4 linked regions of the Oreochromis niloticus genome follow. The protein of the gene in region 2 purifies or fractionates together with the protein of the main gene of each other region. This does not show direct contact. Links are inferred from orthologs where the notes say so. Each region holds a gene or a part of one and is shown on either strand. Other genes may lie near its edges.

Region 1 (7,624 bases), on a different chromosome or scaffold from region 2:
GGAGGAGACTTTGTAAATGTAAGTACATGGAAGATTGGATTGACAGCACAATAATCCATAGTTTAGTGATTGTCTTTTGACATTGTCTGGAAAATTTCCACAAACACTTTATGAATTTGAGAATTTGTTGATTAAATCTTGCCTTGGTAACTATTGACTTTAACTGAGCACATTTATAGTCTTGCCCCCTCTGGTGGTTATGCAGCATATTACAACACATTTAAAGTTTTATAATATACTGCTTTCTTTATGAGCCCCTACTTACTGTGCGTACTACTAATCTTTTGTGCAGGGTGATGGAACAGGTATCTGCAGCATCTATAGGGGTCCATTTGCAGATGAAAACTTCAGAATAAAGCATTCTGCTGCCGGTCTTCTTTCAATGGTAAGTGTTTTGATAAATCCTAAATCTCCACGGATACACTTCAGGTAAATCACCCTAACCAAAATGTGTCTGTTTTAATAATGTATCATATTACAGGCAAACAGTGGTCCAGGAACAAATGGTTGTCAGTTTTTCATTACCTGCACTAAATGTGACTGGCTAGATGGAAAACATGTGGTGTTTGGTGAGTAAATCAACAGTATTGCATTTTTTTTTTTTTAACTCTATTGTCTGTGTCAGAGTTAAATTGACTTACTTGTAATTATTACAGGAAAACTGGTCGATGGCTTGCTGGTCATGAGAAAAATTGAGGTAAGAACTTACCTTCCCTATAAATCTATCTTGCCATATTTTTTTGTAAACACTCATCACTTTACCTCTGGTATGTTTAAAGTTTCAAGAACTTTTTAAAATCAATTATCCAGCCTAATAATGACACATACAATTTGATAATCTTTTAATGTTTATGTAACAAATAATTAAACCTCTAACTTGTAGTCCATATAAATCACCATAGTTGGATGTAGTGCTTAGATTACAGCATTTTTGTTCTAAATGTGTGTCGCTTTCTTCCAACAGAATGTCTCAACAGGGCCCAACAACAAGCCTAAACTCCCCATCATCATTGCACAGTGTGGAGAGATGTGAGCCGACACGTGCTAAACACCATGTCAACATTACACAGCCTCTGTATACATTTAATGTCTTAATTGTGACTTGTTACTCTTCAGAAAACATCAACACACTGATTCCTGCAATGTCCCATAGTGGACATTGATGTATTTATTTGGTTTCAGACTTCATTTGTTTTAAATTCAAATTAAGTCCAAATTAAGACTGTTTGTGTACATTTTTTTTAAATTGAAGAAAGAATTACATGGTTGTCACACTTTGTATTATTTCCAATCAATAAATTGCTGTACATTTTTATAAATGTTGCAGATTTTTTTTAATATAAAAATTTTCAAAAGGATTTCATTAAGTGTCAAAAGGCAGCTCTGTTGCAATACTGATGATCGGATATAATCTAGAAAGTAGTGAAAGCCAACTATAAATAGTCATTCTAATCAATAATTCACATCATTAATAATCAGATTTACCTAATGATTAACTTCTTATCAACTTAATGTGTGTTTGAGAAACTGTGGCAGTGTCTAAACTTGGAAAGAACATTGTGTACCCAGAGTAATATGAGCTGCTTTGGTAAGTGTTACTAGCTCTGTTTCCTTATAGTGCCTTTGATTAAAAATTGATCTTAACCTCGAAGTTATGAAGGAAATGAGAGAACCACTTTACAGTGAAACACATCTTCCATGGCGCTCACTCCAGTGCTGAACTTATGGCTACCTCTTCTATCTCAGCCATCTATACAAATCTAAGCCTCCACAGACCCCCTCCCCCATCCATGCTCTCCCTCCTCAGCCTTGGACATCGTTCCCTTGGCATAAAAGAAGCTTTTCAGATGGAGACGCTGTTCTTATGGAGACAGGAAGGAGGCTTTTTTCCCCCATTTTTTGAAGGGGGGGATCTCTGTGGGGAAGCTTTCTGGGGTCATTGCTAAAGCCCATCTTTGTGTGTGGGAGAACGGTGCTCAGACATTAACAGCAAGCTCTTCACACATCGGTCAGTGCTCGTAAACAGTGCCAGTGGAGCATTAACATGACAATGGAGGGGAGGGGAGGGGGCGTTGTGGTGGAGTTGTCCCACACTCAGACTGGCCCTGTCTGCTCTGTACTACTGGAAATGGAGTTTCTAAAGTCACACAGAATTATGACTGGATTTAACCAGTTAAAACAGAAAATTACTTTATACTTGCTTTTTCAATATCCATCCATCCAACCATTCGCTTCCGCTTATCCTTTTCAGGGTCGCGGGGGGCGCTGGAGCCTATCCCAGCTGTCATAGGGCGAGAGGCGGGGTACACCCTGGACAGGTCGCCAGTCTGTCGCAGGGCTAACACACAGGGACAGACAACCATTCGCACTCACATTCACTCGCACATTCACACCTAGTGACAATTTGGATTATCCAATTAACCTATCCCCACAAGCTGCATGTCTTTGGATGGTGGGAGGAAGCCGGAGTACCCGGAGAGAACCCACGCAAACACGGGGAGAACATGCAAACTCCACACAGAAAGACCCCGGCCTGATGGTGGAATTGAACTCAGGACCTTCTTGCTGTGCGGCAACAGTGCTAACCACCGTGCCACCGTGCTGCTGCTTTTTTAATATTTCTGCTAAAATTTGGTTAGTGGTTAATATATAATGTACAGAAACACCTTATTTAAACTGTGATGTAATTTTCGACAGTCAAAGATAGTTATGGTGTAACTAAGGTCATTAAGATTTCCAGAAATGTTAAATGATTATTCTTCTTTTTAAATATGCTTAGGTGTAATAATTATCATTAAGATTCATGTTGTTCTCCCCCTTATTTGAGTCTTAAAACTAATATTGCATATGTGTGTGTATGTAATAGGGGTTTTGAACACCAGGCCTTGAGGGCCGGTGTCCTGCAGGTTTTAGATAACACCCATGGTCAGCACACCTGAATCAAATGATTAGTCTATTACCAGGCCTCTGGAGAACTGGAAGACACTTGAGGAGGTAATTTAGCCATTTAAATCAGCTGTGTTGGATCAAGGACACATCTAAAACCTGCAGGACACCGGCCCTCCAGGCCTGGAGTTTGACACCTGTGGCTTACACTGTAATCTCCATTTGGTGGCTTTTTGGCAGCACCTGTAACATTCAGCAGTCGCCTCATTGTTCTGACACACAACACAAAACTATCCACTACACTACACACTAACTACACAAGAAAACACACTAATTACACACTCCAAACGTCACAAATCTCTCACTTCTTAAAACTTGCTCTCTCATTTTTCCGCTCTCTTTCTCTCCGTCACTCCTAAAACTTCCTCCCTCTTCCTAAACAACCAAATGCCATGTTTCTATATCATTTTTTGATTGGTCGACATTGTACATTTTTCCACAACACGAAAGGGGTGTTTTTTGTTTTGTTTTTTCTTTTTTGGTCATAAGCAGATAGTGCTTGCTAGCGCTGCCCTTAGAGGGTAAACGTGACCATAGTATTCAGGAAAAAACACCACGTATATGTTGTTTGTCATGACTCTTGTGTTACGTGGCCTATCAGCACAATTTAAAAACTGGTATATATCACCTCTTTGCTTTGTCATCTTGAAGTGGTCATGTGATTCAGGATTCAAGATTTTTTATTTTGCCATTTGCACACAGGACCAACAGTCCATGTACATTGGAATTCTTGTGCAGAGCTTTCCAAGTCTTACTACGACTACTATATTCTTTCTCAGTCAAACTGCAGCACTCATGGGATTGTTTGGCCCCCCTTAGCTCCAGGTGTTGTGCCAAAAAGTGATCGTCTGCCAGAAAGTGATTGCCGTCCGCGGGAGCGCCCGCAGCTACTTAAAGCTGTAGCGCCCAGACTACTTATGTAGACAGCTACTTCCATGCAACTGATATAAGGTGCGGTAAGATGAACACAGCTTCAGCCGTCTGTTTGTTGAAAAATAGTAACGCGACCGCACCGCATTTTCATGTTAGTAACGGGTACGGCGTTGTAAAGATAGAAATAGTAATTAGTTAGATTACTTGTTAATGAAAAAAGTAACGCTGTTACTTATAACGCCGTTATTCCCATCATTGGTGCGCACACACACACACACACACACACACACACACACACACAGTATATCGATTTTTCATTTAACCAGCGTACAAAATGAAACTGAAAATACTTTAAACATTCAGGCATTGTCTTTCTTAATGGGCCCGTGTTTTTGTGTTTCTAGATCTCTTAAACTGCTGACTTTGCTCCGAATTTGAAGCATGCGATTACACGATAATCACACTATTTGCAATTTTATATATTGCATAATGATAACTACAATTATATTTTAAACTATATGCATATTAGGTCCAAATCCGTCAGCAGAACAAGATTTTAGTAAGTAGACACTGTTCCAAAACTGTCACGGTTATGCAGTCTGATTCGTCTGGCTCTGACATCATAAAGGGGTGGTGAGAATGGACAGGTACGGTTTCCTTTACCCAATCATTTTACCCAACGCGTTTCTGAAGCGAAATTGACAGTTACTCTGGCTAATTGGAACGCGAGTGTTTCCTGTTACACTTTCCAACCAATTAGAATGGCAGTTGGGCGGACCTCCGAGTAGGAACATTCCACGGCACCTCATCTCATTCTGCCCAGTTAGATCGGCAACGGGAGCGGAAAGAGGAAAGCAGAGAGCCCGAAGGCAGTAGCCCCCACCACCGCCGGCCCAGGTTACCATCTAGCACCGGGAAATATAGCAAAGAGCCGCCGCCGGCTGAAGCCATTACCAACAAGTAACAATGAGCAGCGAGGCCGAGACACAGCAACAACCGCCGCAGCCTGCTGCCGATGCGGAGAGCCCATCCAGCCCGGCAGCCGCAGCTTCCGCGGGGGATAAGAAGGTCATCGGTAAGACTGCTGGAGCTAGTTAAGCTAACTAGATAGCTAACGTGTTTTACGGCACAGAGGCAATGCGCAAAAGTGGTGCTGCTAATGTTGTTAACTCGATCCACAGCTCAGTCTACCTTAAACTAAAATACATTCGTTAGAAACGGCCGTTGAGCCGCACAACGTTAGCACATGTTAAGTAATGGTAGGGAAATTTTTATTTTAGCCAACGGGACCCAGTATAGTTTTGGCTAAAATTGAATTATTTCATGGGCTATGTTCTATTCAGTGTGTTGGCGTTTTCTAACGAGAAGCTTTCTAGGAAAAGTTAAACTAATCTTCTTTTGATGTCTGAAAAACGCTAAACGTTTACGTGCTAGCGATACAGAATTAAACTATCGGTTGGAAGCCAGACAGTGCAAGCTTTTTTTTTTATATATATAGTTTTTATACATCGCTGCTTTAATAGCTAACACTTTGGCCTTCATATTAAATAATTTTAGACGACATGAGTATTAAAAAGGTATTAATGAGGTATTTTAGACTTTCAATCTTTCCTGTTCATCGGCCTCCTCGCGTCAAACGTACGCCATAGAATGCCGTGGTACCGGGTGGCCGTCACGTAAATGGTCGCTGAAGTGGTTTCTGGCCGTTATCGGATCCTGTGTATATACGCCAACGTCGGTGCTGATTTTAGGCAGACAGTTAATGGGAAATCATGTATTAAAGTAATAAAGTTAACTTTAATGCCGTATTTGTGGAACACCGAAATATCCACTGGCTTTACCGGTTACAAATTATGTCGAAATCAAGCTAGCGTTAGCGACTTGCCGTCCTTTGTTCGCACGAGTCTTGCTCCCTGGTGAAATATTAAAAAAAAAAAATCTATAACACTCGAAACTATGTTCAGACTTTTAACTGTTACAATTAGCAGCGAATTATATTTGGATTTGATCGGAAATTCACCAGAGCACAACTGTCAGCGGTCGACTATTTTCGGTGGAATTGATGAGGTCTCGTTAGGGCCTAGCAATCGACCGACGGTTGCTGGCTTGTTTGCGAAGCTATGTTAGCTTAGCCAGCTAACTTGAGCTATTTACATGGCTAAAGAGGCCATCCAAAATGTCCGCCGTGTATTCCACTGATTTCTTTCGCCATTTCGTTGGTTGTTAATTGAAACCAGTATAACCGTGGCATTTTTTCTAATTTTTTTTTTTTTTTACGTGCTAAGCATTTGGTCACAATAGAAGCTGTCCGATGTGTTATGTTCATTTCCGCTTGCTGGCAGTAATCCAAGCACATGGTTCAGACCTTCTCAGCTACATAGCTATGCTAACAAGCCAGCTGAGCTTGCTAACATATCCGGGCGCGATTACCACGTGTGAACGCTCAGTAGTGCGTCTAAAATGGGGCACTAGGTCTGCTGTAGTTAAGTCAATGTGTTTAGCTACAGCGGCCTGCTATGATGATGTTGAAATCTTTGATTTGGATGGCATCACAGTAGAAAGGGACGTTATAAATAGGGGTAATGAAGTCTTGAAATTCACACGAGAAGTAATCTAGTCGGTACTCATTCGTGGTACTCGTGCATGGTGTTCGTGACGGTTCATACCTCACACCAAATGCAGCTGGCACAAGACACTCCTAAGCGCCGGGATCTATAATAGGAATGACAGTTGGGAGTTATATTTAACTTCCACATCAAACGTGTCACTTTCTCATGGTCTGTTCTTATTTTACACTTTGTCATTATTAGAAGAATTATTAAATACAGACATGTATCTAAAATGATCATTAATACATGTTCATTTTTTATTTTTTTTAAAGCAACAAAAGTCTTGGGTACAGTCAAATGGTTCAACGTCAGGAATGGATATGGGTTTATCAACAGGTAAGACTTCGCCTATCCCTTCTTTCCAAAGACCCTCATAACAGCTGTGTGTGTGTGTGTGTGAGAAAGAACATTCCCAATCCTATTATGGCTATGATTTGCTTACAAAGCTGCCCAGATGAATTATCTACTTGTCTCCAAACTGGTTGCATGCATCTATTAATCCTTACACTCATTCGCTTTGTTGTAGTCTGCAGAGGTATCACTGCTTTTTGTGGCTCAGTAGGATACTTCTAATGGTGTTCTACTTTTTTTTAATATTCATAGGAATGATACAAAAGAGGACGTTTTTGTACACCAGGTAAGCTTTGCAATATTGTATTTCTTTTTCATAATTTAACAAAAAATCTGATGATTATGGTGATTAGAAACATTTCAAACATGAAACATTGTGATTTCAGACAGCCATCAAAAAGAACAACCCGAGAAAATATCTTCGCAGTGTTGGAGATGGAGAAACTGTGGAGTTTGATGTAGTCGAGGGAGAGAAGGTAAGCTGTTCTTTGGTTAGTAATTCGGTTTTGTAGTCTGGCAGCTTCTAAAGAATGAATGTTCTCTAGTTATAAATAAATAAATATTACTGTGGACACAGGGAGCAGAGGCTGCAAATGTCACCGGCCCAGGAGGTGTTGCAGTCCAGGGAAGCAAGTATGCTGCTGACAGGAACCGCTATAGGCGGTACCCCCGAAGGAGGGGCCCTCCCCGTGGAGGAGAATATCCAGAGAACTACCAGAGTGATGGAGAGGGCGAACAAGGCAGCGGAGGACGTGACAAAAGCAGAGAGGGTGGAGAGAACGCCCCTGAAGGAGACTCGCAGCAACAGCAGCGCAGACCCACTTACCCTGGCAGACGGCGCTACC
Region 2 (7,141 bases):
AGTCTCGACAGGCTGTGAAATAAGAAGCATAAAGGCCTGTTTGTGGCACAGGTGTGCAACAAGACTGACTCACAACTGTCAGAAAAATATGCCAGCAATTATAAGCATTCAATGAGCTTAGAGGAATACAATTCCCACAGGTATGGCGTTTTGTAACCTGTTCCCAAATGAATCAGGTTTTCCATTTGTAACTCATCCCACACTCCATCAAGTTCCAATGTACCCACTGCCCCTAAACAGGAACCTATTCACTCCTGTTTTACTATCTGAAACATGATACATCTGACCTCTAAATGTATCCTGGGTACAGGCTGAGAATGGCCCAGAGCAAAAGGTGAATGAGACATCTCAAACTCCACAAAGGTGCAAAGCAGAATTAAACCCAAACAACAGACAGCTGGACAATGAGTTCATGGAAGTATACAAATACACTGAGAAACTAATTAAAGTAGCACACTTTGGATTTGTTTAACACGTCTTTAGGAAAATGTAGATAAAAGCATTATCTTGTTCAATTTTAAGGGAGCAGATAATGTGCTGTTGTTTAGGCTAAGGTAACAAGTAATGTTACCTTGTGATGAGTAAATATATAGGCCATACAGTAGCAGATGCTCATACTAAAAATGACCGAATTTTCAAATAATGAGGTCGGTGTATGTATAAGTACACTGTGTGACCGAAAACCTAAGGCTTCAAACTGCTCTAAACTTAGAATTTCAGATAGCCTCACTATGGTCATCTCAGGCACACAGCTCTGGCTGTGAGCACAGAAACCCCACCCACCCACTGTTCAATCAGAGGAAAGATGGCTTAAAGGAGGGGGGTGGGAGATAAAATGGCTGAGATATAGAGAATGGACTGGGGACTGGACTAAGACCAATATAAGAGATAACTAGCTGAAATAGAAAAAAGAACCTAGACTAATCATCTGAAACACTGTCTGCTTAGTGACAATAAGGAGTATTAAACATATCTGCATGGTTTATAATATACTCTAACGCAGTCAGCTTTTGAGGTTAAAGAGAGGCTGTTGTATAAACAGATAATGACTGACAAACAGTAAATTAATATTATATATGCATCACATGTGACACAATAATTGTTGAAAAGCTGCTACAGGTTCTGGTGATGGTTTCATTTACCACATGGAACTTAACGATTTTAGGAATATTTTCAGACTGTGCCTGCATGTCGTTTTTACTACACTGTTTTGCAAATCACAGATAATCGATGCTAATCGTTACGATCTTCTTCATCGTGGGGTTTAAGTATGTAAAGTTCAAGGTTTCCATGTCTTCACCTTGGCTGTGCTATCAGCAGTGTTGGAACGTAAAAGAAAAAAAACACTACGCAAACATAGTAATAATTAAAGAGCCTGGTTTATAATCAATACACAAATTATCGTGCATTTTTGTAGTTTACGCTAAGACTGCTGCTCTCCACAGGAGAATGCATATAGAGTAAAAGAAACTGAAATCAGCTTTACTTTTCTATGCGTGAAAGTGCGACAATTTAATGTTTCAGTGAATATAAATTATTGTGTAATGTGCTATGCGGCTTATCACAGCAACATCGTGACTGTAGTACATTTGCTATAAGTATTTCTACACAGGTAAACCAAATACTACTTTTACCCGACCCTCATTTTACTACTTTCTACCATCTACAGAGATGTAGTTAACGAATTCTTGAGTTAAACAGGGCCGTGAATCGTACACCGCCGCAGTGTTTAGCTACCCCGTACCAAAAGTGAGTAACTTTGGTACAAATGCTCGTTTTAGAGGTATGTCTTCATATTTTACGCCGTCTCGTTTCAGACAACAACTTGAAAAAGTCAAACACTTTACCTAACGTTGCTTCTGTTCTGGATATCCCGGTTGGCTGTGGACGGTAACTGTTTTATGCACTCAGCTACTTTTCTCAAGTTCCGACCGCATCTCGCCATCTTCTCTTCTTCTTTAACGGCTTTGTTCACTCCCTCGCTATCAACCAGTTGACAGGGAGCTCTACGCGCAGTTTGGCCCGACCCTCAACAGGCCTAACCCGCTTGCCATTGGACGATCTGTGGCCACCGAATGTTTTTATTGGGCGGTCCCGCCGTTCGTCACGCCAACGTATTCAGGTTCGTGTGCACGAGCTCGCACGCGCATAGAGTCACGAGTTGTTGGCTCGAGTTGCTCTATCGGCCGAGAAAACCGGGTGAAACCTGTTTGTCTTTGCATATCAAAACTATCAATAGGTCAACGTGTTGACCTGTAGACTACACTACACCTTCTTTGTTGTCATTTATTCCTGCTCTGTTGGGCAAATTTGTTAGAATACAGTTTCTACTATTTTTGAATAACAAAGTGAAAGAAATATTTAAAATTCTTTGCAGTAAGGAAGACATTGAAAGTGAAAGTGAACAGGTTTCTGTCTGTGTGCTTTTTTTTTTTTTTTACCTTTTTAAAAAGGAAAGGGGAGCTGTTTGCATATACATCAACTCAGGGGTAAATTATGAAAGTTTCTTTGCTTATCGTGATACATTATATTTGTTTTACTAACGTGTAAGGTACATTTATTATATATATGAATAAATATTGAATGAAATGATATATGCCTATAGGCACTGGTGTTCTTGTCCAAAATACATGTTATAACATACACTTTAGTAAAGCTCATGAAAGTTAAAAAAAAAAAAAGAAGTTTTTTGGGGGTTTAGGTTGAACACAGAAACACTGTCAATTGTATAAACATTTCTGCCCAGTCAGGGTTGTTTGTGGACACTTTGGCGGCATTATTATTATTCAAACTTTGACTTCTGTGTCAAGTACCTCACAGCTGGTGGTACAAGTTTTTCCTGCAACGACATGCATCTTCTGGCATCTTCCTGCTGAGTCACCAGGTAAAACTCAACTGTTTTAAATCTAATCAGTCACTTTCCCCACAGCTATATTCCTCATCCTTCTGTTATAAACACTCGTCACTCACATATCTAGTGTCATGTAGCTTTCTTTTCTAATAACCAAAATGCAAGGCTGGGTCCTGAAATTTCATTTTCTGTGAAAAGAAAAAAGCTTCACAATTAGCTCCACAAGTATTGTCTGTAGTAGATGGACTGCTCTATATAGCTTTTCTACTCTGCTGGAGCACTCAAACTCAAAGCGCTTTATACAGCATGTGTCATTCATACAAGCACTTTTTTCTGTGCTTTCCAACATTCACACAGAGTCATACTTCCATGCATCTGAGAGCAACTCTGTGTTCAGTATCTTGCCTAAGGATATTTGCCATGTAGCCAGGGATCTAACTACTAGCCTTTGTGGATGATCTGTTATACCTCGTGAGCTACAGCCACCCCTGCAGTGTTTCAGATATAGGTCCTCTAGCCAATAGGAGCACAAGAAAATCTAAGAAATAACAGCTGGGCATTTATGAGAAAGGGACATAAACTATAATAACAGGTGTTTTGTACAGACATTTGGGGAAGAAACTTTACCAACCATAGATCTCTTTCAAAGAAGCCAGTTTCACATGAAATAAAAGGTAAACACAGATATTAGTAATGCGAGAGGTTAAAAGCCTTGACTTGAAGTTAAGGTTGTGAACCAGGTGTTAGAAAAGCCTTATGTTTAGCTACTGCTGCATGCCAGAATAGCCCCTGTGAAAAACAAGTCTTCAAAACAACAAAACCTGTCTTATTATCCTTTTCACTTCTGTTTGTGGCATGCATAGTGAAATTACAGGCTTTTTGGTATACGTTTTTACAAAGCAGCCCAGTTACAGGCTTTAATGTACTCCAGGAGACAAAGAAGGAGCTGTGCAAGGAGATATTACTGATTTCTGTCAGGCGACATTCTCCATTTCAATTGATAAAAGTCTGTCATTAAAGATCAGAGTGCTGCTTCTAGCAGAAACATCTGGGAAATCTGAATAAAATAAGATGAGAAAGGTCAATTGGAGGGCTGCGTCAATTGAGATTTTTTAATGGGGTTTTAGGCTAGTGGACATTATACATCATACATGGACGGAAAGTCACATACTAATTGCTTCACTGTATCTACAACTTTTATAAGTATGTCAATACACTACGTCTAATACTAATCCTACTACTAGCAATATAACTACTGAGCGATTGAAAACTGGTCTGAGAACAGCTGGAAAGACACGGAACTCTGAATTAAGTCACATCCGGTTTCAGTCTCGAACAACCGCCACCAAAATGGCGAAGATCGCCAAAACGCACGAAGGTAAATTACTGCTAAAACTACCATAAATATGTTCTGTTTTACCACGTATTTTGCTTTATGGTGTCAGTAAATATTGCGGTAAATTTTCTGGTATTTCTGTTGACGGTAATGCTCCTGTTTATTTGCGAAATAGGCGATAAGCACCAGGCCTCATACGACGCAACGCGGAGCTTTAGATAATGGCGCTGGTGGTTACCGCTTAGCTTTCTTGTTAGCTGGAATGGACTATTTTTCTCAGCTTATTGCACACTTGCATGCAATAGTGGGCGCCATTTGGGCTTTTTGTCTTGGTCCGATACGCCTTTAAGCTAGTATAACTTGTTGTTGTTACTGTGTAATCCAAGGTGATGGTAATTCTTTAATGTCTCAGTGATTCTCGTGGCTAACCGAGTTAGCATTAGCAACCTCTAACAAGCGTTTACCATGCCTACAGCAATTGGTGTCCGGCAGCAGACTCTGATATTAGCTTCATAATCGATGTTTAGCAGGAATATTGAAGGAAATGACCGAGGGCGTTTTCTGTAGCAAGTATTGGAAATCGTTAACCCTTTTCTGTAAAATATTCTAATGCACTGTTTGGACATGACTTTGAGAGTTACGTGACCCAGTTTTTGTTTGTGAAAGCAGTAATTATGATGTAAGTAACGTTTATTTTTAAAGCGCTTTTCACAGGCGTGCATTCATAAAGCCCTGTACTGCAAAATAGAATAAAAATAAATACATAAGTTTAACGCAACCTCACAGTAAAGTAAATAAACTTTACAAACCTAATTGTAGTGCAGGACTGTTCCAGTGTCTTGGTACCACAGATCATGTTTACATCAAAAACTACAGTCACATACGGTGATATTAACAGGCAGAGTGTAAGGAAGTATTTGAGCTTGATTTAAGGCGTGAAAGCGCAAATAAAGGCCCGTTTGCTAGTCTTTGCCAATCAGTCCAATTCTCTGTGTGGGGTTAAAGCATTTTTTAACGTGTAAATCTCTTTGAGAGCATCGTTTGCAAGTACAATACCCCATCTGTTTTTTCTCCTTGCTAAGAAACGCTGAAGATCCTCCTGATTAAATGTACAAAAAATTCCATGATGAAGAGCTAAAGGCTTTTTTCTTCTTCTTTTTTCCTTTTATGAAGCATTCCTTTGTTTCCCTGTGCCAAGGGATGAACTAAATAGGGGGGGAAAAGGAAAAATATATGGGCATGTTATCAAATTTTACAGTACGCTCTATCACACTGGTTTTACACCCTTATCCAGCACAAACTGAAGTCATGCCTCAGATAAATTTCAGTAAATATAATATTTATAGATTAATCAATTCCATTCACCACTGCTGATACCGGGGTGTATGTCAGTCATCCATGCTTACCTATACAGGTGGTTTTTCACCATGTTTCCTTGTGTCCCTACAGATATCGAGGCCCAGATCCTAGAGATCCAGGGGATGAAGGCCTCCCTGCTGGAGGATGGAGAGCAGGGAGTGGGCCTGATCTCCACTGGCGTTTTTGACCCAGAGATCTATGAAGGCAGCGACAGTCGCTTTGCAGGATACGTCACTTCCATTGCTGCCAATGAGCAAGAGGAGGCAAGTATTTATTTATTTTTATTTTTTTTCCTTTTCCAAATCAAACACAGCTTCTTCCGAGAATGCTGTTTTGTGAGCCACAGGTTGTCCTTTGTCAGTTTTGTAAGGAGCTTGACTGCTCCCCTCTGCTTGTTTTGGGGATTTGAGCTAGGAGAACCTTGCCAGTTTGGCAAGATTTGAATAGACTCATTTATTCTCTTTCTTACCTCAGGATGATGAAGATGATACGTCAACAAGCTTGTTGGGACAAAAGAAGCCAGGGTACCACGCGCCGGTGGCAATACTTAATGCCATTCCTCAGTCAGATGAACAGGTATGTTCATTCACTGTTTGGGCTAAATTCCAGTTAAAACAGGGATCTAATTTTAATGAAAAAACAGGCTTGTACAAAATCCTATTTTACTAATCATCGCATGTTTTGTGCTTAATCTTTGCAGTACGACCCATTTGCAGAGCATCGTCCACAGAAGATTGCAGAGCGGGAGGATGAATACAAGGCTCGGCGCAGACAGATGATCATCTCTCCTGAGCGTCTCGACCCCTTTGCAGATGGTAAATTTTGCTCTTTTGTGACCTTTTTACATCTTCCCAAGTTCCTTGCCTCCTCCCCTTCTTTCTTTTTGTTTTCTTTGTTTTCTGTTTTTACACCAATAGTTTTTACTGTTCAACCCTTCGACCACAATGCAATAGCTTGCCTCCCAGACTCAATGCCTTCCCTGTGGTCAATCCTTTCCTCCATGTACATTTTGTGTCGCTGTTTTTCTCCCACTATTAATTTCCAACTGTTTCCAACAAATGTCAGTGTGGGCTCACAATTCATTTCCATAATTGCAGTTTGGGACAGTGTTGTTGGGATTTTAATTTGGTGCATGCATTAAAGGTAATATAGGGTTACCATGCTTTTCAGGGGGAGAGGTGGTTAGGTGTTTATTGCCTAACAAACATGGGTCGCAGATGGGTTGTGTGTGAGTCGAAGGGTTAACAACCCAATGTGATTTATGATGGGAAAGTGCAGTGTCCGCTTGTCACAGAAGTTGAGGATGAAGGTTAGCTCATTTAGCTGCCCATGTCCTGTGCTTTACCACACTGGGCACAGCTTTATAGGTGAATATAAAATATATAAGAGGAATATCATTAATATGCTCTGGTGGTAGTTGAACCAGAAGCATAATTTTAGTTCATAAATCTCTCAAGTTTCTCTGTTATCTGGATGCAGTAACATGACTTGTCAAAGTGCAAATTGTCTTGGGCTTCAGCGTAAAGCGCTGCCTTACAAGTAGGGCTGTCCCGAATATCATATTTTTGAGCTACAGCAGTTCAGAGTTGATCAAA
Region 3 (7,745 bases), on a different chromosome or scaffold from region 2:
TTAGGGAAGAGAAGCAGCACCATTTGCAGTGTACAGTAAGTTTCAGTTTATAAGCACCTGAACAGATACAGGATCTCTTTCATACCATTTGTTTTCTTCTCTCATCTTAACAGTTTATTTCAACCCTGCGCTGCCCGATCACACTGTTTTATACACAGCTGCTTTAATTCCATCTGATATTTGCGATTCTGTTTTGTCGCCACATTTAGTAAGTCGTTTTTAACCATTTTATTTTGCTTTGCTATAAATATATTATTATGCAACATGGCTTTTCCTGGCTCAGAATGGGCACAAAATGCAATCAGAGCACAAAGCGACTGTGTTATTTGACAAAAACCTGTCCATTTCACTCTGATGTCTGACGACTAAATAGATTACACACAAATCCCACAATACAAAACACAGTGATTCATCTATGGCAAGGATTTAAATACATTTAAAAAAAAGCTTTACCATCCTTATAAGATCTGACTTACATGGTAAAAATAAACAGCTGAGTAATTGTATTTAAAAATGACAAAAGGTCAATTTTAAAACCTTCTTTGTCAAATAAAAGATCTAAAATTCTCTCACCAGGGATGGCTTTGGGGTGAAAAATGTAGTAAAAAGCTCTGCTTTATATTTCTGTATAAATTTATATTTTACTGTATTTATTTTAATTTAACATAAGATATTAGTTTTGCAATATTACATTTACTTTATGAGATGTCTCATTCTACTCTATAAAGCTGTCCCGTTTTATGTTTGTTGTATTTGACTTAACTTTTAGCTGCTGTATCAAAGAAGTTTCCCTTTTGGGATCCAGTTTAATTTTTATCTCGTTGCACCTTAAAATTGTTTTTATCTGACTGTGACGCTGTATGTTAAGGGACGTCAATCTAAGCTACACAAGGGTCGCCACAACAGGTAGCTCTTCATGTCTGATTTGGCATGATGCAACCCCAGAGGGATTTGTATTTCCTCCGGAGAACAAACCCGGGATCTTTTGCTTGTTAAGACAAATGTGTAAACCAGTGCACCATAGGAACACTTAGTGGTCATCGATTCAAAAAAATACAAAACTTATACATGCCAGAATTTATCAAAAAAGCTCATTTTCATTTCAAGCCCCTGGGCAGGTCACATGAACCTGACGTGATATACAAATAAAAATAGACAGAAGACAAATACAAACAACGCTTAACATTAATTTATCAACTGATAACACATTTGGCTGTTTTAAGATCTGCTTTGAAAACATCATGTGTCAAGTTTTCATTATAAGTGATAACCTGTTCCAATAATCACTTCTATTCAACTATGGTGCGCTCTAGATGGCGTCCTACCCTCAACCCCACTGTCACTTCTTTGTGTCCTTTTAAGACGTTACAGTGACAAAAAAGAAGGACTTTTTAAATCAAAAACTTTTGTGGCTTTCCTTAAATGTTACTCAACTATAATAATTGTTGTCCCACCTGTTAATGACCAGGCAGTCCCCTGCAAAGGTTCAAAAATGACATTTGGGTGGAGACTAAAAATATAAACAGGTTATATATAATTAAACCAAAGTTATAGTAATGCCTAATTAACAGAAAAATGAACATTTACCTTTAATTTTTGGCTACTGGATAAAAACAAAAAACAAAACCTGACTTAAGCTCATTAATCACAGGCCTGGTGAGGTGGTGACCACTAAAATGTCTCTCACAGACACCCTCATACCTGTGGTGTATGAATGTCCAGGCTCATGTTGATACAAGTTTGTAGATAACTATTTAACATGATTTTTGAAGATTAAAATATTCTGATTTTACTAATCACTAACAGTTATTTGGAAAAAAAATGTCAAAACAAATGTCACTGCGGGTAATCATTTACCTTTTTGTCCAAACATTCTGCAAATTTCAGCTGCTTCAGCAGTTTCTTCTGCTTGTTGCTGAAGCGGTTGTCCTGCTCCGCACTCGTACCCTGCAGAAATAACAGCCAACATCAGCGGACTCGTGATGATCAGCTTTCACTGGACATGTAAAATCAGAGGAGGACAGAAACCCGTCTCGAACAGTGTTTATAGTCTCAGGCTGCACAGCCTCCTCACTATTGGGCCCATGTTAGTTACAGCAGTTTTACTTACCGATAACATTATTAACGACAGTCAAAGTTTAGGATGGAAAAACATTACGTTGCTTACGCTAACGCGTCTTAAAATAAAGACTTAAGACACGTGTGTTCCCTAGAGCGCCGCTTCATGTTCTTTTTAGCTCCTCGACCTGAGCCGCAAACGACACTGACACCAGTCGGCTAGCATTAGCCATGCTAACCACTTGCTTAATCCTCGAAAGCGAACGCACAGGCTAATAATAGGCACAGCCCGAAGGCTACTTTGACTGACAGCGGAGCTGACATTGACAGAATATTAAAAGACACATTAATGTCATTATTCAGCAAACACGGAGGACTTGCTAAGGCCAGCACAGCAGCAGTCGTGACTAGCTCATGGAGACAGGAGCGATGCACCGCCCGGGCGCCATCTTTAGTTAGCTAGCTAACTTGACTCGTCTATTTCCTGTAAATGTGTCTGTAAAATAACACGTACGGGGTTTTAACTTAGGAAGCTACACATTTTCATAAACTATAGGACAGAAAACATCAATGTAGGGAACACGCAATAACTCCCAGAATACACTAGGCGAAGCAGACTGATTGCAAATCTTGAGACTGTTGGCTCCCAGTTGATAGACGAAGCCCTGACCGCTGTTTAGCTAGCTGCATGGCTCTTCACTAAAGACACATAGGAAACATCCATCCCATAAAACGTATATAGATCTACATAAAGCTAAATAATAATATACCAAATACAAAGATAAAAGTTTGAAGAACTTACGCGGAAGAATCCCGCGTCCATTTTAGGTGAAATGGTTCGTAACTGCTGCTGTGGAGAAAGCCGTGTGCTGCTCCGCCGGTGAAATTCAGGGTGACGAGCCGGATAAATGGAGTGCCCCCACAGGAAGCAACGGGTACTGCAGCTACAGTGAGGAGGAAGAAGATTCCGCTCATCACCTGATGCACGAAATATGGCAGTCGCTAGCTTAGCTTTTGTTATTCTTGAGATTCTGCTGCTGGCTTTAAATGTGCTTCAGGCCTTCAGTGCGCCACACGAACTTCCATTATTTAGCTCATTGCTCTGCTTTGACCACATAACTGCAGCTCCAACAAACGCTGGTAAAGGTAAACATGGGGAGATATTCATCTTCATGGAATTATTTATTTCAATGTACACTGAAATAAAAGATTTTGAGGTCACTTAGGAATGTCTCTGTTTAAATTAAAAAACAAACAAACAAACCCATCTATGTACTTTCTTCTTGCCGCTCCTAGGGGTCACCCCAGCCTCCGTTTGCCCTCACCTCACCCTATCCCAAGCATCCTCCTCTGTTGCAACATCCTTCTTCTCTGTGGTCTTCATCTTCTCCTCCTGCCTGACAGTTCCATCTTCAACATCCTTTGTCCAATATAGCTTCTATCCCTCCTCTGCACATGTCCAAACCATTCATTCATTCATTTTCATTCATTTATTTCATCTCACCTTCCTTGCTAACCTGTGTTGTTCCTCTCGTGTACTCAGTTTTACTCATACCTCTTCTCTGTTCTCACCACAGATCACAATGTCATCTGCAAAAATCACAGTCCATTTTGCATTAAGTGATTTTGGCAAAGCAGTCAGTGACTGGAATGTGCCTCAATATGCAGAGACAGCTTGCACAGATATGAATAAGACCCAAACCTTGGTTTAAACTGGTTTGCTCAAATGTTGTTGATTTTAAAAAGTATTTTGTTTTTATCCATTGTCCAGTTAGGAGCTTGTTGAACCTGAACCTCACCAACCGCCATTCACCAGTAAGAATAAATGCTCAGATAAACAAATGAGAAAAACAAAAAAAAAATTGTGATGTATAATAATGATGCAAAATTTTGCTTCTGAAGAGATTTCTTTGGGAAACCTTAATAATAAAATTAAAGAGCTTCCCATGAAGCTCCGGGGGGAGGGAGCCCCCGTCCCAATTCCAGCCAGAAAACAAATTCCACATTCATAACAAGAGATGGGGGCACTGAAAATCAAATTTGGACCATATTTGTCAAGAAATGAATCAGTTGGACGGAAGTCCAGACGCTTTTCTTTGCAAACTCCTTTGACTACGATGACCTGGATGACTGAGAATCTTCACAGACAAATCAGTTGGACATTATATTTGGAGCCCTGTTCTATAACCATTTCCTTTAGTTCTTTACAGAATAAATTCAACAGATTGCTGGAAACATTCTGCAGAAATTTTGGTAAATCCCCCCGACACCATTATACCTCCACCAGAAGCTGGAATTGTTAACAAATTCCCCACGTGTGGGACTAATAAAGGTTATCTTATCTTATCTTATCTTATTCCAGACAGGATGGATCCATGCTTACGTGTTGTTACTACAGTTCTGACTCTATCATCCAGATGCTGCTGCAGAAACAGAGCCTTATCAACCATGCAATGTTTTTCCGGTCTTATTTTGTCCAAATTTGCTGAGCTTGTGTGACTTGTAGCCTCAGTTTCCTGTTTTTAGCTCACCCAGTAGGACTCAGTGTCGTCTTCTGCTGTTATAGCCCATCTGCTACAAGCGTTGATGTGTTGTGTAGTCAGAGATGCTTGTCTGCAGACCTTGGTTATAACATGTTTTTTTTTATTTTGCCTTCCTGTTCGCTAGATTTTCACCAGAGCGGCCACTCACTTGGTATTTTCTCTTTTTTAAACCTCTGCAAATCTTACAAATGGCTGTGTTGGAAAATCTCAAAAGATCAGGAACTTAAATACTCAGACTAGCCAGTCTGAAAATAATAATTTAAGGTGTCTTAAATCATGTTTCTTCCCCAGTCAGATGCTTGGTTTGAACTTCAGCAGGTTATCTGGACTCTTTCTACATGCCTTAATTGGTGTGATTGGCTAGTTAGATATTTTGAACAGGTGTACCTAACAAAGTGGCTGGTGAATACCTTAATTTTGTATATGTTACTCGAATAAATTAGAGAATGAAAGCATAGATGAGAAAACTTTAACTATTTCTTAAATAAAAGTTAAATTTTTCATTTTATAGTGTTCTTGTTTTGATGCTGATCGGGTGTTTCGGATGTAAAAACGACACAGAAAAAAAGAAACTTTGGCAGCATACGATATTCAGTGCTCTTTGGGTAAATAATATTTTTATTGTTAAAGGTCTGATTCAAAGTACACAGCATTTTTTAATATATTGTTTTCCTAAGTAAATACGGCCTCATTTGATACTGTTACTCATTCATATTTGTAATCACACCGCTGGCAAAAAAGTAAAGGCTTCCTGTTCTGTGCCACGGCAAGGGTAGTGCGGTTGTATATACTGTGAGTTTCACTTGATAGTCTATATTATAAAAGAGTGCTTTACAAAACAGCCAGGATACATGATTTTTCATTACAGTCCAAAGTCAACTGAGCCAGTCATTCCAGATGATCCTGGATTCAAAATGTCCAACAGATTTGTTGTTCTACACGTGGAACTTGTCCATATTGTATTAGATATTGTAACAGACGCTGAAACACGCTGGTGTGCCCATGCATGTGATCAACATCTGAAACTCTTTAAAGCTTAAGAAATATTTCTGTTCCACCTGAGGCAACATGCCCATGTGTAAAGTGATGCTTATACCATGAGAACAATAAAAACCACAAAGATGAAGAGAAGGTTTGACAGTATCTGATTCCCTGAAAAGACTGAAGTGTGTGTGTCTGTGTGTGTGTGTGTGTGGGTGCACATGTGTTTGACATCTCACTTTCCACTGAATATAAAGAGGTTATGACTGAGAATTTCCATTTTACAATCAGTCCCTGGCACGGTGCAGCGATGCTCCAGACAAACAGATGATACTGGTTGACAATTTGTAAAAGTGAAGTAAAACAAAGTGTGCTGTTGGTAAATGTAGACTGAGGAAAAGTTAGTGGTAGGTAGGGCATTGGTTAGTCTTGATGCAGCAGGTTTTGCTAGCTGACTGGCAAACCCTCGTTGGTCCTCTTGTCTCGGATGGAGCGGAGCATGTCCGACACCAGCTCCTCAAGCCCGAAGGCTGGCGCCCAGCCCCAGTCTCTCCTGGCATTGGTGTCATCAAATCTCACAGGCCAGCTGTCTGCTGCAAAAAACAAACAAGGACAATTTAGTTTTATATTGGTTTATTATCAGTCAAACCAGTGATTTAAAAACAAAAAGATACCATACCAATGGTCTGGCGGACAGTGTCGGGATTGTAGGTGACCTTGAGGTGAGGGAGATGCTTGCGGATTTCTTGGGCCACCTCTTCAGGGGTGAAGCTCATGGCAGCTATGTTGTAGGTGCGCAGTGACAGCTGGCACTCTGGAGCCTGCATGAACTCTACCGTGGCACGGTGGCAGTCAGAGATATGCATCATGGGAAGACGGGTGTCGGGTCGCAGGTAGCACTCATGGTGACCCGTGCTGAGAGCATCATGGAAGATCTGAACTGCGTAGTCTGTGAAGACAGAAGTCCGGAGCACTTAGTCCATGACATCCAACGGATTGGAGTACATTTGCACAACACACACAGGTAATACCTGTAGTTCCACCACCAGGAGGCGTGTTAACTGATATCACTCCAGGGTAACGCAGGCAGCGGAAGTCCAAGCCATATTTATGATGGAGATACTAAAGAAAGAGAAGCTGATTGAAAATGAAATGGAGTCACAAGCGTCTCTGTAAGCACGCGTGCAAAAAACATTTTACCTCCCCCATCAGTTCACCATGCACTTTAGACACGCCGTAGATGGTTCGAGGTCTTTGAACACAGAGGTCAGGGGCCGGGTCACGTGGAGAAGAGGGACCAAATGCCCCAATAGTGCTGGGGACAAAGAGGCGCAAACAGTTCTCTAAGGCCAAGTCCAGCACATTATGTAGGCCTGGATGGGCAGAAAAGAAGAGAGCACGAGTTCAACCCTGATTGTTCCTTAAAACCTGGTTACGTGTAAAGCATGTGCATATTCAAGCAGACCTGTGATGTTGATCTTTCGTGCCAAAGCCACATTAGCCTCACCCACAGCACTAAGCAGAGCGCTGTAGTGGACCAGCCAAGTGATGCGGTTATTTACAATAAGTTCTCGGAGGTGTTTGTAGTCCAAAACATCAGCGTATACAAACGGGCCTATAAAACAACAGTGATGCCAGAAAAAAAATAAAGTAATTAACTTTTAAAGTAATACGCATACTTGAATGAGATTTTACATACCACTGGCGTAAACATGAGGTGGAGGCTTCTTGATGTCTGACAGGATTACATTGTCCCTTCCATACTGTTTTCTAGACATTAACAAAAATATGACGACATTTAAACTTCAAACCTTTTAGCAAGTTTCAAAATCTCAGGAATTTCTACAATCTCACCTCAGCATCTGTGCAAGTCCCACACCTAACTGCCCAAGCCCACCTGCAGACAAAGGCAGGCGTTAACTTTCTACCTGTGCACACAGATAATCTGTATTTGTGGAAGACTGGTAAATCGATAAAAGTCAAATCCATGTTGTTGGTTTTCACTTTCAGATGAATAAAGCTTTGTGTTTGTTTCAAAGCTTGATCCTAGGACAAAAAGTGACAGCAGGCTATTATTCTCCCCACAGTCACTCATTGGCCCTTTTATTTCACTAGCACTGTCTGTACACACTCTATTGTGATGAATCAAAATGGGCTCCCACT
Region 4 (7,873 bases), on a different chromosome or scaffold from region 2:
TTTAATGTAAAGTCTGACACAAATGTGAACATTACAAATTATTTAAATTGCTTTTGGGTACCATACAGCTTGCTTTACACCATAAACCGTCTGCCTACCTGTGGCACATCTTCCTCCTGAGTAACACTGACAAAGTTTTCAAACATGGCCACCATAGAGGGAGCAGCAATCACGTGGCAGTTGACCAAATCAGACAGAAAACGCACCTAAAGAAAGAGATGTCATTATGAAAAATAAATGCCAAAGTGGCCATGTTAATTAGTTTAAAAGCAATCTGTAAGATTATTATACAAAGCCAGCATACCAAGTAAACAGCTTCACTGTACAAGTTGTTTTTTAACGTCTCCTTCAACTGCCTGATCATGGCCTCAACGAACTCGCCCCCAAAGTTGTAGTTCCTGGCGTTAAGGAGGCCGACTAAGGTCGTATACACGGTCAGCTTCTCGGGCAGGAGGCGGGCACTGTCAACAAATGACAACATATGACGACTGCAGACACACAAAACACACTTGCAAAATTTATTAGAAATCAAAGGGTGAGAAGAGGTGTGAACGTACACAGTACATAAAATGCGCAGAATTTTGCTTTTGTAGTTTGGGAGGTCTGCCTCTAAGACGCCGGCCAGGCCCTCCAGGTTGCTCTCGAGGGACGATGTGCTCTGTAAGGAAATATTTTCGCACAAGAGCAATTTGTCACTAGAAGGCAATTTAACACAAAGCAAAGAAGACATATAAAGAACATTCTGGCATTTACTTTTAGAAGCAAAGTTTTGCACTGAACTTGTGAGGCTCAACTCTCTAGAGCGGAAAATGAAGCTACTCATCCTGAAAATAAAAATGTGTCCTTCCTGTAGTGTCTCCTTACCTTTTCCCCAACACGACATATCAGTGATTCCAGACGGTCTTCGATCTCAATCGGCTCCGATGTTCTCCTCCTCTTATGGGCTTGACCTCCTGGAAAGGTGAAAGAGTAACACAATAATCAGAGCCAGAAGAGGCTCAACCAGCTCCTGTAGGAAATATCTGTCAGTTTCTCTTAGCTAGTGCACTCTTAAAAAGAGATTTTTAATCTCAATGAGTCTTCTCAAAGTTAGGATGATAAATTCTCTGCTGTGTTCATCAGTTACACTGCCATTTCATGTTCAGTGGTTTTCAGACAGCACAGGACTATGAATTAAACAATGAACTGATAAAAATAAAGCTTTGTGAAGTTCAGAAAAGCACACTTACACTGTCATTTAAAGAATAAGAGCATTAACAAAACATCAATCCAGCAATTGAATTGAACATTTAAAGCGGACCAAATTATTTTTACATTATTTTTTTCTTTATTTTCTGTTATTTATATAAAGGTTTATTAACACTGTTAATATATTAAAAGTAAGGATGTAGTCTCGAGTGGTTGTTCGTTATGTCTTATCAAACCAAACAGCACTGTATCAACAGCGTTCTCTTTCTGGGATTAATAAGTTATTTTCCTGGTGTCGCATGCAGACTGCCACATCTAACAGCAGTTCTATACTTGCACTATAAATGCACGGCATAGGTACTTCATACTAGCAAACTCCTTTGAAATCTGATGACTTAACCTGACATGCTTCTTCCTGGAAAAGAAACTACACATCACACTACACAAGTCATTAAAGGGCTTCAGCCCTAAATATATATCTGAGTTGTTTTATAGATACAAACCCAATAATTCTCTAAGGTCTGCAAGATCTGGTCACCTAATAGTGCTTGAATCTGAAACAAAACTGAGTAATAAAGCACTTAGCTGCTATGCTTTTAACCAGGGGTGTCAAACATGAGGGCCAGGGGCCAGAATCGGCCCAAGAAAGGCCCCCATGGGCAGCTTTCAAAAGTGTCAAGGAGGGTATTAATTCTGGCTTCTTGATTGTATTTTCATAACTTTTATAGGTTTTTATACAGATAAAGAACTCCATGGCCACTGATCCTATGCCAAATTAATTAAGCAACAGGTGAACAATTAAATGACAGATATGTTTCCGTTCACTGTAGAAATGTATAATTTTTAAAAGACAGACAAAAAAGACAGGTTTTATAATTCAAACTGTATGTGCCACTGTATGCAGCTGTATGTGAGCCATGACACAAAATTTTGACATCTCTGCTTTTTACTACCATCATTGCTATTATTGTTGTTGCTATGAATATTACTACTATTACTGCATTTTTCCCTTCTTTTCTTTTCTGTTTTAATCTTAATCTTGTAAAGCATCTCGAATGACTGTAGTGTTTGAAAAGTGCTATATCAACAAACTTGCTTTGCCCATGTACATATGCAAAGTTACCGTAGTCCCAGATTAAGAGACGAGATCTGATTTAATCTTTAAGCAGACCAGGTCCCATTTAAATTCAGGATCTTGCGCTCTACGGGAAAACATTTGATATTTTTAGGTGATTTTCCCCGCCCATAAATCCAGATCCATAGTTAAACTTTCAATCAGATGTTAACACTAAATGTCGTGCATGTTTTGCAGTGTTTGGTTACCGCCCCCATAGTCACTGGCTACCCTGGTTAACGCCAGCTAATCCTGCAGCTAACTGCACCGGTTCATTTTGCGGCTGCATGCGACAGTTTGAGCACTTTTCTCGCTTTCAGTGCGCCACAATGTGACTGAATACCTGCGGTCATCAATGGTTTTGCACTTTTTGGATGTCGTTGATAAAACCCAAACATCAAACTAGTAAAATAACCCTCCCAACACTGCGCAGGGGACGCATGAAAAGCTCGCTAACGCCAGCTAGCCACCGCTGGTTAGCCTAACGGTGTGAATAATACACGCCGTTAACGTGCACCGACTCACCGTCGTTCTCATCGCTGTGCCGCCTCCTGGACATGTTTCACCCCGCTTCGATGTGAATGTAACAAAGCCAAAATATGTGTTGAACGAGAAACAAAACAATGAGTCCGTTAAACGAGTTTATCTATGGATCATTCAGCAACCAGCCGCTCAGAGAAAAATAAAAGCGGTCTGATTCAAGTGAAGCACATCCGGCTAACCCGGAAAGTGCACCCGTCTTTGGTGTCCGGAGTCTTGTGCTGAATTTTCTGGTGCACGTTTGGAGGATTTGTTTGTTTGTTTCCTTAAAATAATATGTGAGACTTTGTGTTTAATTCTGGTGAGACGGGTTAGTCGCTAATTATTTTAAAAGCTCTGTAAAAACACAATGGCGGCGGAAGATACACCCTGCTCAGAGTTTATAAACTGGGAGGTTGACTCTTCAGTTTGTAATGGATTCAAACACGAGAAGCAACTTTCTGCCCCACAAAGGAGATACTACAGCTTCTGCAGGAGAAAGGTGAGCATCAGGACACACTGACTGGAATCCCTGTTTTATGGTTCAATTGTTGGACATATATAACGATTATTGTGAAATTTCCAGATATTTCGCACATTGAAATCTGAGGCAATGTTTGAACATTAATATCTCAAAATCTAAGAAAGATAAAAGCCTCAAATTGTCACTGGCCTCTCTTAGCATCAAAATGAATCTGATCTGTAATCTGTATTTTATAGTTAAAATCTGAAAATACATACAAATTTGAGCACACTCATAACACTCACTGCAACTTCAAATTGCAAAAGACAATTGGTGACAGTTTACAAATTTATGAACAACAATATTAGAAAACGTTATGATCAGTTTTACATTCTGTAATTTTGTATTTGTAATCAGTGGTTTCTCAGCTGTGTGCTGGGAGTGTAGCAGAAAAAAAGTAGTTCTTCTTCTTAAAAAATATTGTTGTTGTTGTTGTTGTATAACTTAATAACTTAGGCTAAGGAAGGCTGATGCTAATATAAAATGTTAGGGACAGATTTAAAAATTCAGATGTCAATATGTCAACTCTTATTCTTAAATTTTTATTACAAACAGTTGTGCAGTGGTCACAGTCTTTACAGAAGGTTCTGGGGTTTAAACCTGCTGGTCTTTTTGTGTAGAGTTTGCATTCCCCCCCTGCATAGGTTTCCTTCTGGTACTTTGATATCCTCCCATGTCCTGTTTTACAGTCTGTAGTGGACTGACAGGTGGGGTGTGCCCCACCTACCTTCCAGTGTCAGCTGGGATAGGCTTCATCTCTCCCAACAAACCTAAGTTGGATAATATAATAATAACACAATAGTAATATATTGTTAAGAAGGAAGGGTCATTATTTACCAACTTTCGAGTCGTTTATTTTAGAAACTGATACAGTTTCTAAACTACTCTGGACAAATTTCAATATTATCACATATTGGGCAACATATGCACCAAACTGTGGAATACGATCACACAGCCACTGTCTTATATATAAGTCTTCTATAAAATCTTAAACATCTGTTTGACCATGTTAAAGATTTATCTCTTTATTTGTTTTTTATGTTATCCCCTCAGTCATTTGCTGCCTTTGTGGCATCCAAGAAGGACGGTAGTCACGAGGAAGGAAGCCCTTTGTGGTGCTGCTGCGGCCAGACGTTCATCGAGCACGCCGCCATTCACAAACACGTGGCCAGAGTGCACAATGCTGAAATACAGCAGCTCACACAGGACGAGTATGAGCGTTTGTTGAGCCAACTGGAAGAAGAGCCCGAAGCAGCGCAGGTGCAGTTGAATGAGCACAGTGGAGAAACGGTGGACGTCTCTGTGTGGATTCCCGATATCAGCCACATCTCTGAGGAGCAACTTAAAAAGTAAAGACAATCTGAATTCAGTTATTTCACTATATTCTATATTTCTAATCTATATATGTAGATTATTAATGTGTCCCATTTTAATTTTTGAATTTGATGTTTTATTTTTGTTCGTTGTTCTCTCGTTCTCTATCAGCGGTCCAGGCAGGGTTCTGCTTTACTATCACTACTGTCGCGTCGAGGAGCCACATGTCATCTGTGCTTGGCAGAAAGCTCTGTGTGAGAAACTCCACTTAACAGGCAAGGTGAATGAATTCTCCTATCTTGCCTCGGGCTGAGGAACACTTCTATGAAAGAGCAAAGAAAAAAGGCTTTTCTCTTAATTTCAGTGAAACTGTGCCATTAAAATGTATGTTGATCTTTTTCTTCAGGTGAGGGTGGCGACTGAAGGCATCAACGGAACAGTTGGTGGCACCAACTTGGCCACTGACATTTACATGGAAGCAATGCGTTCACATCCACTGTTTGAGATGGATAAGGAGGATTTTAAGGTCAGATTCAGATAAAGGGAAATTTTATATACCAGTGTCACCTCCCCCTCTTAATATTGCTTCATAGAATAGAATAGAATAGAATTCAACTTTATTGTCATTGCACATGTCACAGGTACAGGGCAACGAAATGCAGTTTGCATCCATCCAGAAGTGCTTTAGCCGTGATATAGATATATTACAATATATATTAGCAATAATAGAGATGTGTAAGTATATTACAGAAATGGGTCTATTATGGTATGTTATAATGTACACGGTATGAAGTATGTTATGAATATTCTATAACTATAAGTATGTACAGGCTGTAGTGAGTACAAGCTATGTACAGGCTATGAACAGGATATAAATATGAAAAACTATACAGAATATGAAATAAAAACTATACAGAAATATGAGATATACAGTTATACAGAAATGTGAACTATGCAAGTTATGAACAGTTGTAGGATTAAAAATTATCGTATGTACAGAATGATTATTTACACAGAACTATACAGGAGTGCAGTTAAGATAAGTGAGATATGTGGATAATTTCTACAGAGGCTATATAAAGTGCTAGTGGTTGTGAGTGGTGGTTCAGTCCATGTTATTATTGTGTGTTTGAGGGTACAGTTGTCCATTGTGTGTGTGTGTGTAGGTGGTTGTGGGTGTGTGTATGTTCAGTCCATGAGTTTAACGTGGGTCAGATGTCAGGAGGCAGAGTTCAGGAGTCTGACAGCTGTGGGGAAGAAGCTGTTCCGGTACCTGGTGGTCTTAGTCCGGAGGCTCCTGTAGCGCCTCCCAGAGGGCAGGAGGGTGAAGAGTCCATGTGATGGGTGACTGGGGTCTCTGATGATTTTCCCAGCCCTTTTCAGACACCGCTTCCTGTAGATGTCCTTTATGGCAGGAAGTGGTGCTCCGGCGATGCGCTGGGCAGTTTTCACGACCCTCTGCAACGCCTTCCGGTCCGATGCAGAGCAGTTCCCGTACCAGACTGTTATACAGTTGGTCAGGATGCTCTCGATGGTGCAGCGATAGAAGTTCACCAGGATGTCTGAGGACAGGTGGTTCTTCCTCAGAGTCCTCAAGAAGAAGAGGCGCTGGTGAGCCTTCTTGACCAGCTTGGAGCAGTTGGTCGTCCAGATGAGATCCTCGGAGATGTGGACTCCCAGGAACTTGAAGCTGCTCACACGCTCCACAGCCGTCCCCTTAATGTGGATGGGTGGATGTGGGTCATAGGATCATAGTTATAGGCTCCATCAGGGTGTGGTTTGTCCATAATCAGACTTTAAATGGCCTGTATTTGTATAGCGCTTTCCTAGTTCTTAAGGACCCCAAAGCGCTTTACACATCCAGTCATCCACCCATTCACGCACACATTCGCACACTGGTGATGGCAAACTACGTTGTAGCCACAGCCACCCTGGGGCGCACTGACAGAGGCTTTAAGCAGTTATTAATTTATTTTTGTTAATCTTTGAACATTAATGGTGCTGTTTTTGTGGGTTTGTTCAGACCAGTGACGGTGGCGCAGAGTGTTTTACAGAGTTGAAGGTTGGGGTCTACAAGGAGATTGTACCAATGGGAGTGGACCCTGATGTTATATCTTACCAGCTGGCAGGTACTATTTGTACTATTTGTAATGATACTATAAGCCTATAGAAATTATTAATAATGTAAGTTACACCTGTAGCTGATTTACTAACATCATTGCCTTTATTATCATAATAAGGTGCGAAATGTCTGCTTTGATTGCTACTCTGCAGCCATAGCTGTGCTCTTGTACCAGCTGCTGAGAAACTCTATGCTGTGCTTGTATATAATGTCAGGTATGTGTCTGTTTTGCCTCTCAGGAGTTCATCTGGAGCCCGAAGAGTTTCATAAAGAAGTGGAAGCTCTTCTGACTAAAGGAGATTCATGCAATGACACCATCCTCCTGGACTGCCGCAACTATTATGAGAGTAAAATTGTGAGTAGAAAATTCATTTTCTTTAGGAGATTGTTGACTTCATTCAAAAGTAATCTGATTAGCTTGGTGGTTTCAGGGTAATGTATGATCTTGGCTTTATCACATGACATGCCCAGAGATTTATGGTGTAATTTCAAGTTTTTTGTGCACCATCTACACAAGCTACCATGAGCAAATATGAAGGATGGGCAGAACACTGATATTTGTAGCTGGAAATAATGAGTCTGTATCCAAACAGAAAAGCATGACTGGGATCAATTTCATAAGCCTCAGTATTTTAGCCAGAAGCAGTGGTATTGAGATTGTGCTATTATAGAGTAATGTGCAAAGGCTGTTACAGTTAATAATTGCTAATAATTGCTTTTTTTTTTTTTTTTTGCCTTCAGGGGCAGTTCACTCAGTGCCTGGCGCCTAATATCCGTAAGTTCAGCTACTTCCCAGACTACGTGGACCAGAACCTTGAGCTGTTCAGAGACAAGAAGGTTCTGATGTACTGCACAGGAGGGATCCGCTGTGAGCGTGGCTCCGCCTACCTCCGCTTCAAAGTAAGCTGTTCAGTCATCAGTCTGGAAAGCTTTTAGTGGAGCTGGGTTCACTCGCTCACTTGTTGCAGGTTGCTGATTCTCCACAAGGGGGAGCCTTTTACTAGTAGTTTAGGTATTGAGAAATGCATATTTTTGAAAGGTTTGCATCTAATATGTTAAGTTCTTGTTCATATTTATCTCTTAAATCTGGTAC

Evidence for each region.
Region 1: the proteins of sf3b1 (region 2) and ybx1 purify together in Homo sapiens (co-immunoprecipitation; 3 studies listed by BioGRID and IntAct, with this or other methods). This does not show direct contact. The link is inferred for Oreochromis niloticus from reciprocal best matches to the Homo sapiens genes SF3B1 and YBX1.
Region 3: the proteins of sf3b1 (region 2) and srrm1 purify together in Homo sapiens (co-immunoprecipitation; 3 studies listed by BioGRID and IntAct, with this or other methods). This does not show direct contact. The link is inferred for Oreochromis niloticus from reciprocal best matches to the Homo sapiens genes SF3B1 and SRRM1.
Region 4: the proteins of sf3b1 (region 2) and ncbp1 purify together in Homo sapiens (co-immunoprecipitation; 3 studies listed by BioGRID and IntAct, with this or other methods). This does not show direct contact. The link is inferred for Oreochromis niloticus from reciprocal best matches to the Homo sapiens genes SF3B1 and NCBP1.

What each region holds. Positions count from the first base shown.
Region 1 is NC_031984.2:24,180,253-24,187,876, reverse strand, and holds the start of ybx1 (Y-box-binding protein 1), read left to right. Parts: upstream 1-4,617; 5' UTR 4,618-4,785; coding exon 4,786-4,894; intron 4,895-6,700; coding exon 6,701-6,764; intron 6,765-7,031; coding exon 7,032-7,065; intron 7,066-7,165; coding exon 7,166-7,255; intron 7,256-7,356; coding exon 7,357-7,624. Other genes in the region: ppih (peptidyl-prolyl cis-trans isomerase H), read left to right, coding at 1-18, 293-385, 482-569, 657-697, 965-1,033. UniProt on the Homo sapiens protein: DNA- and RNA-binding protein involved in various processes, such as translational repression, RNA stabilization, mRNA splicing, DNA repair and transcription regulation.
Region 2 is NC_031987.2:32,303,575-32,310,715, reverse strand, and holds the start of sf3b1 (splicing factor 3B subunit 1), read left to right. Parts: upstream 1-4,141; 5' UTR 4,142-4,201; coding exon 4,202-4,229; intron 4,230-5,636; coding exon 5,637-5,809; intron 5,810-6,020; coding exon 6,021-6,122; intron 6,123-6,246; coding exon 6,247-6,361; intron 6,362-6,686; exon of another isoform or gene 6,687-7,141. Other genes in the region: coq10b (coenzyme Q-binding protein COQ10 homolog B, mitochondrial), read right to left, coding at 1,848-1,945. UniProt on the Homo sapiens protein: Component of the 17S U2 SnRNP complex of the spliceosome, a large ribonucleoprotein complex that removes introns from transcribed pre-mRNAs.
Region 3 is NC_031983.2:27,507,875-27,515,619, forward strand, and holds the start of srrm1 (serine/arginine repetitive matrix protein 1), read right to left. Parts: upstream 3,013-7,745; 5' UTR 2,882-3,012; coding exon 2,861-2,881; intron 1,948-2,860; coding exon 1,858-1,947; intron 1-1,857. Other genes in the region: tdh2 (L-threonine dehydrogenase 2), read right to left, coding at 6,030-6,175, 6,262-6,531, 6,614-6,704, 6,783-6,955, 7,048-7,197, 7,282-7,352, 7,437-7,479. UniProt on the Homo sapiens protein: Part of pre- and post-splicing multiprotein mRNP complexes. As a component of the minor spliceosome, involved in the splicing of U12-type introns in pre-mRNAs. Involved in numerous pre-mRNA processing events.
Region 4 is NC_031966.2:10,221,315-10,229,187, forward strand, and holds the start of ncbp1 (nuclear cap-binding protein subunit 1), read right to left. Parts: upstream 3,012-7,873; 5' UTR 2,862-3,011; coding exon 2,828-2,861; intron 954-2,827; coding exon 865-953; intron 659-864; coding exon 558-658; intron 462-557; coding exon 305-461; intron 207-304; coding exon 99-206; intron 1-98. Other genes in the region: tstd2 (thiosulfate sulfurtransferase/rhodanese-like domain-containing protein 2), read left to right, coding at 3,192-3,323, 4,398-4,693, 4,830-4,938, 5,065-5,184, 6,682-6,787, 7,020-7,135, 7,522-7,680. UniProt on the Homo sapiens protein: Component of the cap-binding complex (CBC), which binds cotranscriptionally to the 5'-cap of pre-mRNAs and is involved in various processes such as pre-mRNA splicing, translation regulation, nonsense-mediated mRNA decay, RNA-mediated gene silencing (RNAi) by microRNAs (miRNAs) and mRNA export.